Linked DNA regions of Bombyx mori. The protein of the gene in region 1 interacts with the protein of each later gene in a biochemical or structural test. Links are inferred from orthologs where the notes say so. Each region holds a gene or a part of one and is shown in the gene's direction. Other genes may lie near its edges. The genes, in order: tyrosine-protein phosphatase non-receptor type 11, caveolin-3 and parafibromin.

The links.
Region 2: the proteins of tyrosine-protein phosphatase non-receptor type 11 (region 1) and caveolin-3 form a complex in vitro, tested with the Homo sapiens proteins (2 studies listed by BioGRID). The link is inferred for Bombyx mori from reciprocal best matches to the Homo sapiens genes PTPN11 and CAV1.
Region 3: of the proteins of tyrosine-protein phosphatase non-receptor type 11 (region 1) and parafibromin, one has a biochemical effect on the other in vitro, tested with the Homo sapiens proteins (2 studies listed by BioGRID and IntAct). The link is inferred for Bombyx mori from reciprocal best matches to the Homo sapiens genes PTPN11 and CDC73.

Annotation. Positions count from the first base shown.
Region 1 is NC_085119.1:16,186,199-16,190,439, reverse strand, and holds the start of tyrosine-protein phosphatase non-receptor type 11, read left to right. Parts: upstream 1-1,350; 5' UTR 1,351-1,680; intron 1,681-2,884; 5' UTR 2,885-2,990; coding exon 2,991-4,241. Other genes in the region: uncharacterized protein LOC101736406, read left to right, coding at 33-230, 297-533. UniProt on the Homo sapiens protein: Acts downstream of various receptor and cytoplasmic protein tyrosine kinases to participate in the signal transduction from the cell surface to the nucleus. Positively regulates MAPK signal transduction pathway. Dephosphorylates GAB1, ARHGAP35 and EGFR.
Region 2 is NC_085111.1:986,419-990,626, forward strand, and holds the start of caveolin-3, read left to right. Parts: upstream 1-1,407; 5' UTR 1,408-1,582; coding exon 1,583-1,660; intron 1,661-2,184; exon of another isoform or gene 2,185-2,279; intron 2,280-2,618; exon of another isoform or gene 2,619-2,891; intron 2,892-4,208. UniProt on the Homo sapiens protein: May act as a scaffolding protein within caveolar membranes. Forms a stable heterooligomeric complex with CAV2 that targets to lipid rafts and drives caveolae formation. Mediates the recruitment of CAVIN proteins (CAVIN1/2/3/4) to the caveolae.
Region 3 is NC_085121.1:7,757,529-7,761,695, reverse strand, and holds the start of parafibromin, read left to right. Parts: upstream 1-1,333; 5' UTR 1,334-1,548; coding exon 1,549-1,679; intron 1,680-1,758; coding exon 1,759-1,864; intron 1,865-1,944; coding exon 1,945-2,064; intron 2,065-2,180; coding exon 2,181-2,326; intron 2,327-3,441; coding exon 3,442-3,667; intron 3,668-3,894; coding exon 3,895-4,066; intron 4,067-4,167.

The DNA of each region.
Region 1 (4,241 bases):
GAAAAAATTAAGAACTGAAAAAAAAACCGGAAATGTTGTGCCCAGAAGGCTCTCAGCCTGAAAATGATACGTTATCCAAAAGCAATGATATCTGCCAAAAGAAACCAAACAAAGTTCCTGCTGAAGGAACAGACAGCTTGGAACTAACTTCCTATAAAAATCCTAAGACATGGAAGAAATCGATTTCTAATTTCTTCAGAAATCAACTACGTTCAACTAAATCCAATGAGGTAAGCATTTGCATTAATACAATCTGTTAAGATATTTTTGCCGTTGCTAAAAAAAATATTTTTCAGGGTGATCGGCCTTCAGGCAGTAAAGATAATTTTGAGGAAAAAGAGATCACTCCTGACCAAAAGTGGCAATCTTTGGGGAAAGTATTTCGTCGTCAAAGCTTTGCCGAAACGTGGAACAAGTCTCCTAAATCGCCAGGAGAAAATTCATCTCACAGTAAAAGGCTAGCGGTAAAAAAGGTCATTTCATCTTACTTTGGCAAAAGTCAAAAAGTTACGTCGGCGGATGGTGAAAAATAAACATGTACACAAATAAAAATGTTATACAGATCGTGTTGTATTTTAAATCACTAAGTTCGTTATTTGTAAATTTCACTTAACTAAAACATAAAATGTATTAAAACAATTTGAAAACAAGTAATTTAAAATGATAGACATGAATCATGTATGAAAATTATTTACGTTCAAAATGTTTACTTTGTCAGATATATACGAATATTCTTATGCCTAAATTTTAATTCATATCTGAAACTTCTCTTTATACTACTCATTAGAACATACTACAGTTATAAGAACCAAGTAGTATGATTGTGGTCCTTGTTAATTCCATTGAGGAAGGTCCTTAACGCACTAAGAAAATGCTCAAAAACCACCTTTTGTGGATTTTATGTAATTCCAAAAATTAAAGTATCGAACAAAATAAATTTCTCAACCCTTAAAGATAATACAAAAAAAATTAAGATAATGACCAAGGCTATTTTACTTCTATCTGATGAACTAACTGTATACAATCTTTCGTATAAGACCTTTTGTTGTATTCTTTGTATATTTTCTACGGTTTGAGTGAAAATAAGGGAAACATCCGATAGTAATAATTGCAGTACCTACCTACATCAATCATAAAGCAATGTTAACACAAAATATATATCGTTTGGTACGAAGTGCTTTGTTATTGTCCATTAATTAAACGCTTGGAAATTAGGTTATAGCTCATTTCTAAAATTACCTAACACATTAATTTATAGTAAGATAAATTTTAAACGTTCGAACTAATTTGTATAGATAAAATAGTATAGAAACAAAATTGGAAGTTCGTTCAAAAACCGATTGACATTCTGTTGACAACTTGTCAAGGCACAAATGGGCTACAAAATCACTAGACTGACATTTCTCCAGGCAACTCAAAGAACAAAATTCATTTTCAGCTTTTCGTGCTAAATAATTTAATTTACGATTTATTTTGTTTAATAACACATTTTCATGTTCGTTTATGCTTTTAATTACAACATTAGGTTAACATTCGAGCCGTGCCAGTGTATTCAGTGTATACGCCCTTGAAAATCGTGTGTAAAAAATCTAAAGTCAGCATAGCAACAGTACTTAGATCCGTATAATTATTATATTATGGGATACCGCCGGGATTGTACATCACGGGTGCCTTTATGAGGTGAGTAGTGTGTGTTGTGGTCGATATAGGCGAGTCTAGTACAAGGAAAAAGCGTAAAATGAATAAAGAAATGTACCTTTGTGTTACATTGCCATATATACATATAAGTGCAAGGCTATATGTCACTTTAAGCCAGTCGAGAACACAATAATAAATTAGCGAATTGTAATCCTGTTGCCTATTTTTTCTATTTATATTGCGATATACAAATCTGCAAACATTTTCCATTTAATATATTTTTTCTATATGCAATACCACTTGATATCTAACAGAAACCAAAACATGTGGTAAATCAATAACTTTACTTAAGTTTCCAACAACTTGGTTTTGTTTTCAGCAAAAATACCCAAATAGGTTATGAATCTCGTAATTCAACAAAACGAGCCATTTCTCTGATTCATCTAAAGTTCTATCACCATTCATATATCCCAATAGGAAGGTAGGGAAAAAGCTTAGAGAGTAAGTTTAAAACTATATTTTGCCAAGCTTTTAACTCTAATGAACACACATCACATACTTTTAGCAAAGTGAAAAAAGGTGTTACTGAATACTAAGTTGCTGAAACTGCAAACCCTCACTCTAGAGACTCTGCTAATTATGAATTTATACTTTATGTCTAATGGTAACAACTTAAATGGGCTGTTAGCATGTACCTACAGCAATATCAATGAAAAAATAGTATGTGCACCATGGGAAAAAATTAGGACAACTCATCCCGCGTGTTTGGCAACTTTACACGCGGGAGGAAGTGTCCTACTTTTCTCCCTTGGTGCACAATGTACTATTACTTAAAAAAAGTCTTCAAGGAATCTGTAACAGTCATAAAGAATTAAGATGTGTAATAAAAGAAAAAGAGTACAACATCCAAAAAGTTTAAAAAGCATCTGATATTCTAAGTAGATATTATAAAACAAATACACACAATAAAAACATTTAGGTAATATAAACATACAAAGATACTTAAATAAATAAATACACAATGTTTATATTAATATGGGCCTTTAGTACTTTGAAAGAATTTAAATCATACTCTTTTCTGGCAGTATAAGTTAAAACATTCAGAATTTATCACAGTTTATTTCCAATGTTGAAATAACTTGGAATAATCTCTTTCAAAATACTCTTTCAAAACAATTACGTTAAAATGTAAATTATATTATGAAATGAAGAAAAAATAATTAAGTATTGTTTTCATTATTTCCAGATGGTTGATGAAAATGTACGGGCATTCAGAAGTGAACAAGAAAAAACACTGAATTAATATTTAAGGTATTGTAAGTTGCAAAAGTGGTGCTTTCTATTAGTGTAAGATGATAACTCGAAGATGGTTCCACCCCTCGCTGAATGGTGTGGACGCGGAAAAATTGCTCATGGAGTGCGGTCACGATGGGTATTTCCTGGCCAGGCCAAGTTCAAGTAATAAAGGAGATTTCACTCTCTCCGTCCGAAGAGGAAATGAGGTCACTCATATAAAAATTCAGAACAACGGCGAATTTCTCGATCTTTATGGAGGTGAAAAATTTGCTACCCTGTCAGAACTCGTCCAATATTATATGGACAATCAATGCCAGCTAAGAGAAAAAAATGGAAATATAATTAGGTTAAAAACGCCTCTCAACTGTGCAGATCCAACAACCGAACGATGGTACCACGGGCAGCTCACTGCCAAGGAAGCAGAGAGAATGATGATGGAAAACGGAAAAAACGGGTCGTTTCTCGTTCGCGAATCCCAAAGGCAACCTGGCGACTTCGTGTTGTCCGTTCGCACGAGAGATCGAGTTACACATGTGATAATTAGGCGAAAGGACAACAAATATGACGTAGGTGGGGGGCAACAGTTTGACGATCTCGTAAGTCTAATAGAATACTATCGTAGTTTTCCCATGGTCGAGACTACTGGTGAGGTACTAAGATTAATCCAACCCTTCAACGCTACACGTATACAGGTAAGACATTTTCACACGCGCGTAAAACAACTTCAAAAGGAAAACGAGGGACCCATCGAGAGCATGGCCTACAAACAAGGTTTCTGGGAGGAATTCGAAACGTTACAGATGATGGAGAACTTGCAGTTGTTCGACAGAATGGAGGGTTCGAAACCGGAGAATATTAGGAAAAACAGATACAAAAATATTATACCATTCGATCACACGCGTGTTATTTTAAAGGACATCCCCCCTGACGGTCCTCCGGGCTCAGATTACATCAATGCCAACTACATTCGATGTGACAGTATGGATTCCATTTCCGATTCCCAAGAATTCACAGGGAACGGCAGCACTGAAAACGGCAAAGACGGTACGCCGTCGAAAGCTAAAGATAAATCATCGCCTGTTCATACAAGCGTTATCGTAACTGAAGAGCCGGTCAAATCAAGTAAGAAGGTGCACGGCAACGGAACACACAAGCTGCCGGCGTTCGAACCGAGCGTTCTTCGTCCCAACCCGAATTATTTCAATACGACAATACCGAAATCAGCGACCGAAACCGAAAACGGTGTGCCCACTGTACACGTGTACAACAAAACGTACATAGCTACTCAAGGCTGTCTTTCGACAACA
Region 2 (4,208 bases), on another chromosome or scaffold:
AGACACGGTGTAGGATATGTCAATGATTATATTTTGCCTACCAGAGGAAAAAAATTCATCATTCACAATTTCAAAACAGATGACCCGGAAGACTAAACAGAACTTTTTTATGGTATTGTTATGTGATGTTAAGTCGTTACTGGAACTCATAAAGATCATAAGGTGAATTCAATCTCCCACCTTGAGACATGAGGCCGAAATCTCAATTGTATTGAATAACCGCTGCATGACCTTTCAAAACTAAAACACGCGTCACGACTACATCGCGGCCTTGATATGTAGAACGATGATGTAGGCTCACAAAAACACTACTTCTCAATCGGTTTCTCTTTGTTGAGGAACGTGACTTTTCTATAGTTTTTTCACTGATTTTCTCCACCTATCCTTACCGTTTGCCACAGAGCTTTGTTGACTATCATTTCTAACTGCTGGACTTTTATTGCTTAGATGGTTGGACGAGCTCAAAGCCCACCTGGTGTTAAGTGGTTACTGGAGCCCATACACATCTACGACGTAAATGCACCACCCACCTTGAGATATAAGTTCTAAGGTCTCAAATATAGTTACAGTTGTGCTTAGTGCGAGATTTTTAACGTCCTTGATAGCATAAAAGCTAACTCAAATTTGTATGGAGTTGGAACGTTTGACTACGTTTGCCGCTAGGGGCGCTGTTCCAACTGCATACAAATTTGAGTTAACTTTTACGCTATCGAGAACGTTAAAAACTCGCACAAAGCACAATTAATGCATAAAACGCCTCGTCAGCACTAAATTGCTCCACGAAAGCTCTTTAGCCATTCAAAATAAACGCCAATCTATAAAAAGCACTAATAATAGCTACTATCGCGTTTTTAATTTATATCGGGTATTTATACCTACGTCTAACGATAACTATTGTCATAGAAGAACTGACATGCGCATGACATATGACGTTGTAGAAGGAAATGTTTTTAGTTATGTAAAATAGTGAGCATTTGGAAAGTTGTGTCGGTGGTTAAGCTTAAACAAAGTTTTTGCTTGTAAAGTTCGAATTGAATTTTTAAGTTTTTGTTTGGTTTAAGAAGACTTAAATTTCTAAAATTCGTAGACCGGAAACTTTTTTTTTTCTTAACTCATATTTCTAATGTAAACTATATAACTGTAAATTCAACTTTTGGAAAACCCTAACTTTCATTAAAGTTTTCTAAAATAGTGTAATAAATGGCAAAAATTAATTATAGCTTTTAGAGTATGCCTTCAATTTTGATTTAAACTTGGATGACGATATTAAAGCTATACTTTAACTTAAAACCAAAAAAGTAACCAATAAAAAAAACTGAAAAATATCGCGAGAGGTGCGTTCACACCCGGCGACGTGGCGTATGAAGACGTACCGTTGGGATCCGGCGGTTCCGCCGTCCCTTTCTCTCGCTCGACGTCCCGTCAGTGTATAGCGTGCGCTCACAAAGCCAAGCTGTTGCCGAACATAGCTGAACCGGCTTCCGCTCCGCCGGTACTCATACCGACACCCATACCGGACCGGACCGAACCGGAGCTCACCGAAATACTGGAGACGGTTACGATCACGCCGCCTATTAGGACAATGACGGCGAAATCGGAGAGTGGAGTTAGGGAAGCGTTGGAGGACAGAGATCCTAACAACTTGAATCAGCACTTACAGGTACCGTTCTGTTGTTTGTTTGGGATGCGATATAAGTTCTTTTTACTAGCACATACCTATGGACTAATGGCATAACTGGTGTTTAGCGGTAATTGGTGTCCATAAGCTATAAATACTTCTCTGCAGACGTCTTTACGTAAGGCAGACAGCGACTTGGCTATGCCCTAAACTTGCGGAAGTCTATAACTTACTGTAGCCACTTACCGTCAGGTGGGCTGTATGCTCCTGACGTCTGCAGTCTGTCTACAAAGGTACTTAAAAACGTAGGGAATTATGAGTGTGTTAGTATTTGTTTGCTTTTTGCGAGTCGTAGACATATTTATTATTACCCTTACGACTTAGTCTCGCTTTGATTGTTGTATAATAGTTTCGAGTATCAAATACTTTTCAGTCTTTGTGGTCGCGAAGGCTAAAGTGTTGTATGACGATATTTTAAAATTGCGCTACTATGGGTTAGTACCAGCCCTTTAAATATTAAGGATGTTACTACGAATGTGCCCTTTATAATAATCAGATTTTTATACCTTAGAGTCTTGGTTTTATTATTGATCTGAGTCGGTGTGACGGTCCGTATGAGTATATTTATTCTCGTTTCGTAAGTGTTTCCAGTAATCATAAGCTGAAAGTCAATCCAGGACTGAGTTCACTAAATTACATTATTTTTAATTTGTATGTTGACATTAATTACTTTATACATTTATTTAATTGTTGCTAAATTTTAAATAGGAATATATTTGAAGTTGTTCAGACTGCTCTTTAGCCTATCTTCTCAGGACTGAGGCTCTTTAGCACCGGAAATACTTTATTTGATGATTCGCTAATTACGTTACACGAGATTCGATTTGAATTATTAGTTTTATTTCAATTGTAAATATTTGTTAGCTCTATTTAATTTGATGCAATACTACCATTACTGCCTAATCTCAAAATTAATTTTGCGAAATTGCCAACACTGTACCTAGTAAGAGCAGTTCTTCGCAGAATCTCCGACCGGATTGGACACGCGAAGCGCGAACCACTAAGAAGATCCGGCGAGAAACTGAGTGAGCTGTGTCTGTGGGTTAGTTTACTCGCCAGCTCCTTCGTCGCAAGTGTCGTCGCTTGTTCGACGTTCGACGTGAACGATAACCGGTGCTTGAGGGTAAAAGCACCGTTAGAGGATCGGGAAGGATATGAAATGACGTGTTTTGAGCGTCGACGATTGTTTGCCATTCGGTCCGCAAGATCGAGACTGTAATGGGTAGATATTCTCAATGACCACTACTTATCTTTAGTTAGCTACCGAATCGCTTAGATTCAACAAACTAAGAATGTCGCCGAGCCACGAAACTTCACGGCTATTTCTCCTTAGAGACTTATATTCATTTCGCCCAAGAAATGTATGATACGGAGATATCAGTGCCTGTGTCTAATGCATTCCCTATCCAAGACTCAACATAGGTATTAGGGAAGAATTCCTGGAGAAATAACCCATTCCATCCCGAACCATTTCAGATGTTTTAAAAGAGATTAAATTATATTTTAATAGGATTTGACGTTAAAATTATTGCTTATAATGTAGCATAGTTTTTTGACATGGACCATGCCATTTAAACAATTTACTCATCTTTATGAGTTTACAAAAAAACGGGTAATAATTATAGAGCATAATATTCAAATAACATCTTTTGTAGTTATGCAAATACAACCCTTAAAAATAGATTCGTGTTTCAGCGCCGGACGCGAAATTTACATAAAACAACTGAATAAAAAACCCGTTCATGATATGTGTTATGTTATTTTGTTTAAGTGGCAAATGGAAAATGAAGGTCGAACCATGAAAAGCCCTTCGTTAGGTGACGTCATTAGCCGGACTGGTATTCTTTGTTTACTTTGTAACAGTTCGAAAAAGAACGCCATTTTATTGTTATTGCTACGCGTCTACGTAAAGGCGCTCTAGGTATATATTTACTTAGTGAATCATTATTATTTTAGGTTGAATTGTTTTTACATCCTTTTGGATTTCCGGAGCTTGACTAGCTTATTAACTATTGGAAATCTCTGGCTTTGGAAATTAAAATTATTTAAACGTTTTTCCTAAAAGTATTAAATACTGTAAGCAATGCCTTGAATCCTATAGGATTCTTAATATGCGCTATACAATCACGATACTTTAGTGATATTAATCACCAGAGATATTAATTTGTTACATCAAGCGAAACAGCATATCGCTTCAAATAGCCAGTTTAAAATTATTTTATGTTAAGCTAACGCCATAAGATTATTAATAAAATCAGATTTAGTGAATAATCAACGGAACCCACAAATTCTGTATTCGATACAAATATGTACTGGTGGAATATTACTGGTAGTAGGAGCTCTTGTGTGTCCGCACGGGTAGATACCACTGCCCTGCCCATTTCTGCCGTGAAGCAGTAATGCGTTTCGATTTGAAGGGTGGGGTAGCCGTTGTAACTATACTGAGACCTTAGAACTTATATCTCAAGGTGGGTGGCGCATTTACGTTGTAGATGTCCATGGGCTCCAGTAACCACTTAACACCAGGTAA
Region 3 (4,167 bases), on another chromosome or scaffold:
TAGTTTGGTGGACGAGCTCACAGCCCACCTGGTGTTAAGTGGTTACTGGAGCCCATAGACATCCACAGCGTAAATGTGCCACCCACCTTGAGATATAAGTTCTAAGGTCTCAAGTATAGTTACAACGGCTGCCCCACCCTTCAGACCGAAACGCATTACTGCTTCACGGCAGAAATAAGCGGGGTGGTGGTACCCACCCGTGCGGACTCACAAGAGTAATTACCACCTAGAGAGTAAGTACCTACCACCAGTAATTACGCAAATTTATAATTTTGCGGGTTTGATTTTTATTACACTATGTTATTCCTTCACCGTGAAAGTCAATCGTGAACATTTGTTGAGTACGTATTTCATAAGAAAAATTGGTACCCACCTGAGATTCGAACACCGGTGTATCACTCAACACGAACGCACCGGACGTCTTATCCGTTAGGCCACCACGTCGATGACTTCAAAGTAAATTATACTATTATAGTATTTTAATACAATGATAGGTTTGTGGCACTGTTTTAAAATATTTCCAGTTGCTAGTATGGCGCTACCATAATTCATTCCCTTTCAGCTGACACATTTTCACATATTGAGATGGCACTCCTTACTTCTACCCTCCATAGTCGTGGCCGAAAGGATATGCATTCGTGTCTTGCGATGCACCGGTGTTCGAATCCTGCAGGCACCAGGCACCAATTTTTCTAATGAAATAATTACATAACAAATGCGTAATTACTAGTGGTAGGAAATCTTGTGAGTCCACACGAAACTTAAAAAAAAACTATTATTTGCCTATAAATTGCCTATAAAAAAATCCCTATTTTTGGCGTGAAGCAGTAATGCGTTTCGGTTTGAAGGATAGAGCAACCGTTGCACTGTAAAAACTAAGACCTAAGAACTCATATCTCAAGGTAGGTGGCAGCGTTTACGTTATAGATATCTATGGAGTCCAGTGACCACTTAACTTCAGGTGCGCCTTAAGCTCGTTCACCCACCTAAGTGGGTAAGCTAAAATTTGGACATTGGCGGGAACACGTGAAGCGTACTTCTGGTTTAAATGTGTAATAACGGTGGTTTATTAACTGTTTAGCATCTGTGAAAGTGCATAGATGTAAAATAATGAAACGAAGCAGCTTGTCGTAGCTTCTCGAGTTCTTTCAATAATTCCATTGAAAAATTCTTAGTAAATGACCACTGTTTTACTGACACTATATTTTGGCCTTATATAATTTCATTTCATTTGATTTCATTCCAAATTATTAATGGCTCAAATTAATCAACTTCATTTCATTTCCTTCCAAATAATTTTTAAAAAGACACATACGAAAGATAAGGCTGTATGGTTTGATACCTACGCCTTTTCAGCTAGAAAAATGGAACTACTATTTTAGAAATGTTCACCATGGATGTTCAATGTGTTTCGTTTTCTGTTTATCCCGGTTAGTTTTTTAGGCCGGGGTGTAAAGTTACTTACAGTATATTTAATAGAATTGGTGTCATTATTTTTACTTGACTAGTCCGAGAGAAAATAAACATAAAGTTGAGTGTGAAGTTATCATGGCGGACCCACTCAGTTTACTTCGTCAGTATAACGTAAATAAAAGAGAAATAATTGAACGCGATAACCAAATAATATTCGGTGAATTCTCTTGGCCAAAAAATGTTAAGACAAACTATCTTATTTGGAGGTAAGTACTTTGTGTTATTATTGGAAAATAAACTTTGAAAATGTTGAGCCTTATTGTACCCATTTATGCAATTTTTTAGATCTGGAAAGGAAGGCAGCGTTAAAGAGTATTACACCTTGGAATGCCTTCTTTTTATTCTCAAGAACATTCACCTGACTCATCCAGTATATGTCAGGCAGGCTGCTGTAAGTGAAGTTTAGTTATAAATAAAACATGTATGGTTGATGTTCCACATAACACATTATTGATCTCAAAAAAATTTTAGGCTGCAAATATACCACCTGTGCGTCGTCCAGATCGTAAAGAGCTATTAGCATATCTAAATGGAGAGACTGCTACTTGTGCCTCTATTGATAAAAGTGCACCCCTTGAAATTCCGACTCAAGTGAGTAAGAAAGTTTATAAATAACACTTTCACTAGACTAGACTGTAGGACCAATTAATGTGAATTTTATTCCCATTTATTGATTGAAGTTATTAAGTGATTAAACTACTACATAGGTGAAACGCACACTTGATAATGATGGAGGAGAATCTGCTGCAAAAAAACCTCGAATTGAGGAAACTCATGTTCAGAAGGTCCGAGAACAACTGGCAGCCAGGCTTGATGCCCCTAAGGAAGCTTCAGTCACAGTGGACAATATCAAGTAATTCATCCAATTTATAATAATATTAATTTTTTTAATTTTATATCACTTAGCTGAACCTACTATTATACAAAATATATCAGGTGTACATTCTCAATGAGTTAGTAGTTTCATCATGTGCAAAAATGTGCAATTCCTATTACTTTAATGGAAATGAGCTTTAACAATAAAGACAAATCAAATATGTATACATAATTTGTCCAATCATATTGTACTACGAATTTAGACTATAAAATTAGGGGCCAGAAGCTTTAATGGAATTAATTATGCCATTAGTTTGCAAACAGTATGAAGCATGAAAGAATAACATAAATATCTTAATAATTAATAAGATGCTATGAGGTCAGTTATCAGTAAAAACTAGTTTTATTTGTGGCCAGTGGCCACTGAACCATTTTGGTGATTTTGTTGCATTCAGCTAAAATAATCGACAAAAAAATAATAGGTTTACTTCAGGTTGTTTTAATTGTTTTTATCAGTCTTCTGTATGTTGAAAAATTACATTTGTTGTTCACGGAAGGTGGCCAAAGGTCCAAGTAGTGTGTAGTCTATTTGCCTTAACAGAACAGGAACTATGGTCGTTTTCTTGCAATTTTATGGGTCATTGTCATTGCCTCTAGGCATTTTTTATTATTAACAAAATGTAGTGTGATAACATAAATTCACCTAGACTTTGTGAATTATATCTAAGAACTGTATATCATCATTCATCATGAAGTACTCCAAATTCAGTGTTCCAAGATCTCTTAAAATTTGTACATGTATAGGTTTTATCACAATAAAACTCGTGTAGTTCTTTAATCATAAATATACTTAAGAAGACCAAGTCTAAAGTACCTTGTGGCTCTCGATGAAATTTAGAAAATGAATTTAAAAAAAATCTTTAGTTCTAAGCAAACAATTTGGGTATTTGTCTTTTTTTCTATATCAATAATCTTTAATTACCCCTTCTCTAATCTTTTTGATTTAAAAGATGATCCACACCACACAGTCACCACATCAAATATTCGATATCTAAATAGGTGTAAACATATGTATAAATATCAATATGTACAGAAAATAAATAAATTATAAGTGTTTTCTCTTCTAATTGAGTAATTGTTTCCAATTTTTAGATCCCTTTCTGAAGCTATGTCTGTAGAAAAAATTGCAGCAATCAAAGCAAAACGATTAGCTAAGAAAAGAACCACAATCAAAAGCAATGACTATTCTGATACATTGGGTGTAGTCGGTTCAGACTTAAGAGCCATTCTTGACTATGATGTGGATCTTACTAAAGATATCATCAGCCGAGAAAGGCAGTGGCGGACAAGAACAACAGTATTACAAAGTAATGGGAAAGTAAGTAGACAGCTAAGTATTTATAATTACAAAATATACATCTTTAAAATTCTCCACTTAGCACATGTGAGAAGTGTTGTAATTAGATACGTCTGCATAATACAAATTGATTACTCTTGAATTTTCATTACATTCATGCGTCATTATAGATCTATTATAAGACAATTTAATAATTGATGGTGTTATCTTTAAAATTATAATATATTAAATGAAATTGAATATTGTAGATGTTTGCTAAAAGCATATTAGCTCATTTGGCGAGCATCAAAGCTAGAGAAGAAGGTAGACCTGGGATTCCGAGAGCACAACCTGTTATTTTGCAACAGCCTACTGTATTACCTGCACAACAGACACAGTATAACAGATACGATCAGGAAAGATTTATACGTCAAAAGGAAGGTTTGTAGAGTATACAGAGTCTGTATTTTAGTTTTGTCTTTTCTGGCATGAAGTAGTCATGTGCGTTTTATGGATGGTAACTTATTGAATTGGTTATTGAA